Drosophila melanogaster: one gene and its partner. The protein of the gene in region 1 interacts with the protein of each later gene in a biochemical or structural test. Each region holds a gene or a part of one and is shown on either strand. Other genes may lie near its edges.

Region 1 (3,524 bases):
CGGCGCACTTCACTTAATTTAGTGTCAATCTGTTTGAAGCTAGCAGAAATGAACCACATCATCCAGGACAAGTACATTCCGCAACAGCTGCTCTACTTCTTGGCGGGACGGCGCTGCTGCCAGCAGTTCCCGTGCACATTCCGCACCAGCGAGCACGAAGCATTCGCCAACAACGCCCGCTCCTTGGGGCTGCGATCGCAGGTGGTCCATGTCAACGGGAATAGCTGCGTGAAGGTGTACAAGCAGGCATGTCGCCACTACCTGGAGGAGCCCAAGACGCTGGTTTTGTCCTCGGGCGCTACGCTGAACATGTTTACGCTGCTGAGCAGGAAGTCCTTGATGGGCAAGGAGGATTTGGAGCTTTACGCGGACCTCGTCTCCATGAAGGCCAATGCCTCGGACCTACCGTCACTGCATCTGCCGCTGCCCGCCATACGTCCTCCTAACCTGCGCTTCTGGACGGAGGCGCAGCTGAATTTCCTGACTGCTTTTCTGGGTCACTCGCTGAGCGACGAGATCTTGCAGTCATTGTACGCCAGTCGGGTGATCGTCTATAACGCTGCGCTTTGCTGGGACAAGTCCGTCTTCCTGCCCCTGGTCATTCTGGACGATTGCCGGAACAAGAAGTCCAACGTCAAGATTATGTGCATCGAGCGGCAGGCCATTCTGGCCACCTACAACAGCCAGCGAACGGCCAACTTCTTCGGCGAGCAGCTGGGCGAGACGGTGGGCATCCAGTTGCCGTACTTCAGCGCCGTTAGCTCCAGCACTTTTATTATTTACTCGACGGCGCAGTACTTTTTGCGCTCGCTGACCAGCCAGCAGTTTCGCAACATCAGTCACCTGGTGGTGAACGATGTCCACCTGCATGATCCCTACACCGACATCCTGTTGAGCGAGATACGCATGGCGCTAAGTAGCCATCAGAACCTGAGGGTGGTGCTGCTGTCGCAAATGGGAAACCCCAAGAAGTTCACCGACTTCTTTGGCGAGGGATTGCAACTGAATATGATTAAGCAGCCGGAGGTCGCACCACGTGTCTCCTACTTGAACGAGCTGCACAGCTGCATTGCCCTGGCCGGCATCCACAAGGGTCCGGACATCTACAAGGAGATTCCGGAGGCTTTTCGCGCCAACAATCCGCGCAACGAGCAGATGGACAAGTGCCTGCAGGCCTACGGAGAGTTGGGCACGGACGCCGCCCTACGTCCCTTCCTGTACGCCGTAAACTACGACCTGGCTCCCGTAAACTACCGCCACTCGCTGACCGGCAAAACGGCGGTGCACTTCGCCTCCGAACTGAACAAGGCCAATCATCTGCGCCTGCTGCTCTTCATGGGCGCTGATCCCTACATTGTGGACCTGTTCCAGCAGAACGCCATCTCACTGGCGGCCATGAACGGCAACCACGAGTGCATCGATGTCCTGAACAGCTACAGTCTGCACGGCTATGTGGTGAAGAGCGCCAAGCCGGATTTCGTCGACTATGATCTTATTATCGACATCATGTATCTGCTGCGCACCAAACCGGAGTATTCGCCAGGTGAGTATTCGCCAGGTGTTTGCCAGGTGTTCATGGCTTATAGAACATATTTAGTAAGTTATTAGTCATTAGTTATGGTCAAAAATGGTTTGAATGGGTACTAAGGGTTATATAGGCGAGAAAGGAAGCGGTTAGCAATTATTCAAAATACGATTTGAAAAGTGCGCGTTGGAACGGCTGAGAGTGAATGATTCTGCAAGCTCGTGCGCGATTAATCGCATGAAAATTCGATCTCGCCGCGCAAAAGGTTCCACCCGCAATAGCAAAGCTATCGATAAGTATCGCCTGGCGAGTGGGCATTGTTTTTTATAGAAGCAGCAAGATGAGCACGTACCTACAGAGCAGCGAGGGCAAGTTCATTCCGGCCACCAAGCGGCCGGATGGCACCTGGCGCAAGGCGCGGCGCGTCAAGGACGGCTACGTGCCGCAGGAGGAGGTGCCACTCTACGAGAGCAAGGGCAAGCAGTTCGTGGCGCAGCGCCAGGCCGGAGTGCCGCCTGGCATGTGTCCCCTGCTGGCCGCCGAGTCCAAGAAGGAGCGCGAGAAGCAGGAGCGCACCAGGGCCAAGAAGCAGGAGAAGGAATCCGGCAGGCAGCCAAAGGCGCCGGCGCCCGGCGTCCTGGTTATGCCGCCCAGCACGTGTCCGCCACCCAAAGTCAGTCAGCAGCAGCAGCAGCAGCAACAGCAGCCCTCTGGCAGCCGGGACATCAACTCGATATCCAAGACACTGGAGGACACCCTGAAACTGGACGCCGCCCAGGAGGTGGTGGACCCTGCCAAGCAGTTGAAGAAGCTGCGCAAGAAAATCCGGGAAATCGAACAGATCGAGAGCAGGATCCAGGCCGGCGAGCAGAAGAAGCTGGACAAGGACCAGCTGGACAAGGTGAAAAAGAAGTCAGAGATCCTGCGCCAGATCAAGGACTTGGAGAGCACGCCGCGCTCATAGCCCACTGCTCCAGCTCCAGCTCCAGTCCACTCAGATACTGCTACGAGTATATCCTCTCACCTCGTGAACAAATCACCGACCAGAAGTCGCGCCGCCTCTGCACGAAAGAACACATACATGCCTATGTCTGTTGAATAGTTATATTAGTTTTAGTCGAAGATGTCAAGCCATTTAGTAATATCGATCTATTTTAGTAATGTGTGTCTGTCTTGAAACCTAGTTTATACGAATGGGGAATCGCCGCGTTTATTTATGTATAGGTAACTTTGTAAATCAGATTTAATAAATTAAACCCATTTGAAGCGAAACGCTCACAGGCTGCTCTTTATCATTAACCTCCATGTGGAAAGAATGAGAGAAAGTCTACTACCTTTTTCCTATTTTCAGGCAACATCCTCATCATTTTACCCACCTACTACCACATTGTCAAGCTGAACTACATGATCCTGAGCCACTGCCTCACTGGCAGCCTGCAGGAGTGCTCCATATTCCTGCTGTACGATAACATGAGGAATGACTACCTCCAGGCGTTGGTCAATGCCAGCGATGAGACGGTGAAGGTGGTTCTGGCCACGGATATTATCGAATCGCTCTGCCTGAAGGTGCCGTTCAAGTACCAAATAGACACCGCCTGCCGGCTGAACAATGTTTACGATACCACGAGCTGCAGCGGCGATGATCGCTTCGAATGGGTGGCCAAGGACGCTCTTCTGCGAAGGGAGCTAATCCTTCAGCCCAATAGTAAGTACATAGCTCGTCATACATTGTTAACACTAACTGATGCACTGCGTTTTCCGTAGAAGGGGATGTACAATGCTTCCGTCTGATAAGCAAGGAGGCCTACGAGGAGCTAAGCGAGACCAGTCAGCCAAGCCTGCAGACTATGCAACTGGACAAGATCTGCCTGGCGGTGAAACTACTCTCACCCAATACGATTATAAGCGAATATCTGGGTATTACCATCTCACCGCCACCGCTGATCAACGTGCACCATGCCGTGCAGTTCCTCAAGAAAATAGATGTGCTCGATGACGC
Region 2 (3,703 bases), 2.7 Mb from region 1:
AAGTCGTTCAGGAAAACGTTGATCAGCGGAGTGTGCGGCCTCAGATCCTTGTTGTCCCTGATTGCGCTGATGTCATCGAAAACAAGCCCGCACTGAGTACTGTTGTAATAGCAGACTATGCAGGCTACGCATATACACAGGAACTCGAGCAGGTTGCGCTGCGGCGAGTTTGTGGCTCCTTCCCGCTCCCGTTCCCTCGGCAAAGTGGAGGGTGCATACTGATGGATTCCGGGGTTGGGGTTCGTTGACATGTTGATTTCGCGTTACTTCGTGAAAGGCGTCATGTACCCACAATTGTTCGTTCAGGCGGCGAAATGTTGCATGTAGGGCTTTACCCAGCCACGGTCGGCAGGTCCCTAGATGGCCTGGAAAAAAATGAGAAAGTGGGAAAACCATTAGTTTAAGTTAACTGGAAACTAATTAAGTATACAAGTCCACCAATTTAAGTATAGACACTTCCTATTAGTGAGAAAGCCCCTAAATGTAGGCAACATACATATCTATATATTTTTTTTGAAAGGGGATTCCCCCGAGCAACAAAATTGTGCAGTAATGTATATGTAAGCCCTCGCATCTTTTCTGGATACACACCCAAATCCTCTTACTTTCCATAGTCCTTCATCCGCAACTTACCGATTTTCCCCCAAGTCAAAGTCTTTTTAAAGACAAACTTTCTACCGCTTTTTATGAGCACTTGAAGTTATACAAAGAAGCAAAAACTGATTGCGGAAAAAATCAATTAATACGCAACAAAGTAACTCCTTCCCGGTTACTGTCCTGGTTACCGACTGCACACACAAAAGCCCGAAGTTAACAAAGTTGTAACCCGGGCGGACCGACAGAGCTCCGGATCCGGACTTTGGGTACGCACAAGTACAAGTATGCGGACGGAGAGCGCTTTTAGAGAGGCGAAGAGCGCGTGAGAGATTTGTTTGCATAAACTGTTGTAAATGTTGCGGGACCTGGAGCATTACTAGGCGGGGCACATCGGTGGGCAGATGGGCGGATGCCACAATGTTGCACTCAATGCCATCGATTTTCCGGGCGTTCAGTCAAAACAAACCACCACAAGCGAAGTAAGCGCTCGTAAAGAGCGAAAAAAGGGGCCTAGCTTCAACGGGAGCTGGAGAGGATTGCATCTCAGCTGAGCGCAACTTTGTTGCACGACCGACTTTTCCCGAAGGACGACCGGGCGGGCACGTGCTCCGTTTACCCTTATTCCATTTTCCCGCCAAGAGCGACACATGCGCGGTCCCGCATCCTTGCACTTTCACTTGCCAGGACGTGCGCTCTCCGTGCTCATGGCTCTCCCGCTCGCCGAGCGCAAATTAATGGCCGTGTGTGTTTTTGTAAAATTACTTTGACCGAGATACGGGGCACTGGAGAAGGATAAGGACATGGCGATGGCTATGGGCGCTGGAACCGGAGAGCCAGCCGCATGTCCTCTCCCATTTTAGTGACATGGACGCCATTACAACGGCGATGGCCTCGCACACGCACACAATCACACGGCCGCAAACAAACCCGATTTGCCAACTTTGTTTCAATTCGCCAATAATTACAATGTTGCCCAGCGAGTTTCGAGCACCGTTTAACAGATGGGTTCTCACACACCGCCCTGTCGTTCACATACTTGTTGAGGTAGTTCCATGGCATCCAAAACTGAATTACATTTTAATAAAAATCAGTGCCAAATGCGCGACTTGTACGTGGATTATTGTTGTGTTATCGATACGCCGATAGGCTGGCTTCTCTTCCTCATCCCTGCCAGCCATTCGCAGCGAACACTTATCGATACGCGGTGATAGTTATTCCGTGTGTTTTCCCATCTCTAACGCGTTGTAGTAAAGGAAAAAGAGTGGGAAACCAAAAATTGATATTTTTCTGAAAGTCTTTCAAAGTTACGCTTTAAACTAGAAGCAATCATGTCCACGGAGGACTTTTACCTACGCTACTACGTCGGACACAAGGGCAAGTTCGGGCACGAATTCTTGGAGTTCGAGTTCCGGCCGGATGGCAAGCTGCGGTACGCCAACAACTCCAACTACAAGAACGACACCATGATCCGCAAGGAGGCCTTCGTCCACCAGTCCGTGATGGAAGAACTGAAGCGAATCATCATCGACTCGGAGATCATGCAGGAGGACGATCTGCCCTGGCCGCCACCAGATCGCGTGGGTCGACAGGTCGGTTTGCCGCACTCCGTAACTAGAGCTCAACTAAACAACCATGTGTCTTTTTCAGGAACTGGAGATCGTCATCGGAGACGAGCACATCTCGTTCACCACCTCGAAAACGGGATCATTGGTGGACGTGAACCGGTCAAAAGATCCCGAGGGCCTGCGATGCTTTTACTACCTGGTGCAGGATCTCAAGTGCCTGGTCTTCTCACTCATCGGCCTGCATTTCAAGATCAAGCCCATATAAGCCGTAGCCACCACCTCAAGCATAGCCTATTTATCGGACGGACACATCGTATTTTATAATGGAACTTCTACGATACTTGTAATTGTATAAGCTATACCTTTGTACTTTTTGGTACAGTTTGCAGTGAATAAAAAAGGATTGGAAGATACTTTGTTTTCAAAGTCTTGTGTACAGTCTAGATTGTGCTATAGAAGTAAATAGCAAATCTTCGATGTAGTAGCAGACAACAAGTTTAACAATAATAGCAAACACAATAGTAAACCATTTAACTTTTGATGTTATAATGTGTAGGTATATTTGAAAAATACAATTTAATATCTATTGTGTTTGAATAATATACATACTCGAGATAAAAATTTAAAGTCCTTTACATTTGTACAATTCGTATATGTCTAAAACAGCTTAAGCTAAGTGATTAATATCTCACAAACTGGCAAATTGTCTTAACGTTTAAGTACAAGCAGTAACTTAGCCTAAGATAATGATCGGTATCTTAAGAAACTGGAATAAAATACGCACTCACATACGGTTTTGAGACTTGCAAAGGGTTTGGCTTACATATGCTACTAAATTCAGTCTTTGGGGTGAGTACTTTGCTAACGAAAGTACAAACTAAGGGCCTGCAGGCGATGCAACACTATAGAAAGCTCTTATAGAGCCGAATGCGTAGGTCTCAGAGTCATAATTGTGGCTGCTGATGCAGCGCCAAAGTGGCTGAGATATTGTTACTGGGTCGCTCCAAATAGCTGCCATGTCCTGGCACGGGCATTGACATTGGCATCTCAAGATGCTGGTGGTGGTGATTCAGCTGCGCTTGCTGTAGATGCTGCTGCGGAAGTTGCTGCTGGTGGGAGAGTTGTGCCTTCAGGAGACTGGGAGATGCCTGCAGCGGAGTGTTGCTGGACACACCGACGCTACTGCCGCCAGGACTGGGACCACCCTCCTTCAGCGGAACGCCGATAGTGAGACGCACATGAAGACCAGACTCCTTGATGAGATTCACTACATCGCCGTGCGACATGCCAGCTATCTCGATGCGGTTTACTGCCACTATGCGATCGCCCACCTTGAGCTCTCCACAACGATCCGCCGGACTGCCGGGTATTAGTTTCCCTTAATACGTTGATATGTTAGATGAATTGAAACAAAGTCTAAAGTCAGTGGCATACCTATTGTCGAGCCGTAATAGTGGTTCGATGATGATATGATAACAAATCCGAAGCCCTCGTTTTCATGCCGGCTGACAATCACATCATAAGGATAACGACGCAGTTGT

The links.
Region 2: the proteins of Pym (region 1) and mago are reported together in a solved structure, tested with the Drosophila melanogaster proteins (one study listed by BioGRID).

What each region holds. Positions count from the first base shown.
Region 1 is NT_033778.4:23,855,224-23,858,747, reverse strand, and holds Pym (partner of Y14 and mago), read left to right. Parts: upstream 1-1,811; 5' UTR 1,812-1,865; coding exon 1,866-2,489; 3' UTR 2,490-2,794; downstream 2,795-3,524. Other genes in the region: bgcn (benign gonial cell neoplasm), read left to right, coding at 49-1,558, 2,877-3,230, 3,290-3,524. UniProt on the Drosophila melanogaster protein: Regulator of the exon junction complex (EJC), a multiprotein complex that associates immediately upstream of the exon-exon junction on mRNAs and serves as a positional landmark for the intron exon structure of genes and directs post-transcriptional processes in the cytoplasm such as mRNA export, nonsense-mediated mRNA decay (NMD) or translation.
Region 2 is NT_033778.4:21,126,769-21,130,471, forward strand, and holds mago (mago nashi), read left to right. Parts: upstream 1-1,808; 5' UTR 1,809-1,925; coding exon 1,926-2,186; intron 2,187-2,244; coding exon 2,245-2,427; 3' UTR 2,428-2,969; downstream 2,970-3,703. Other genes in the region: Tmtc3 (transmembrane O-mannosyltransferase targeting cadherins 3), read right to left, coding at 1-251; magi, read right to left, coding at 3,107-3,540, 3,597-3,703. UniProt on the Drosophila melanogaster protein: Core component of the splicing-dependent multiprotein exon junction complex (EJC) deposited at splice junctions on mRNAs. Involved in exon definition of genes containing long introns, including the rolled/MAPK gene.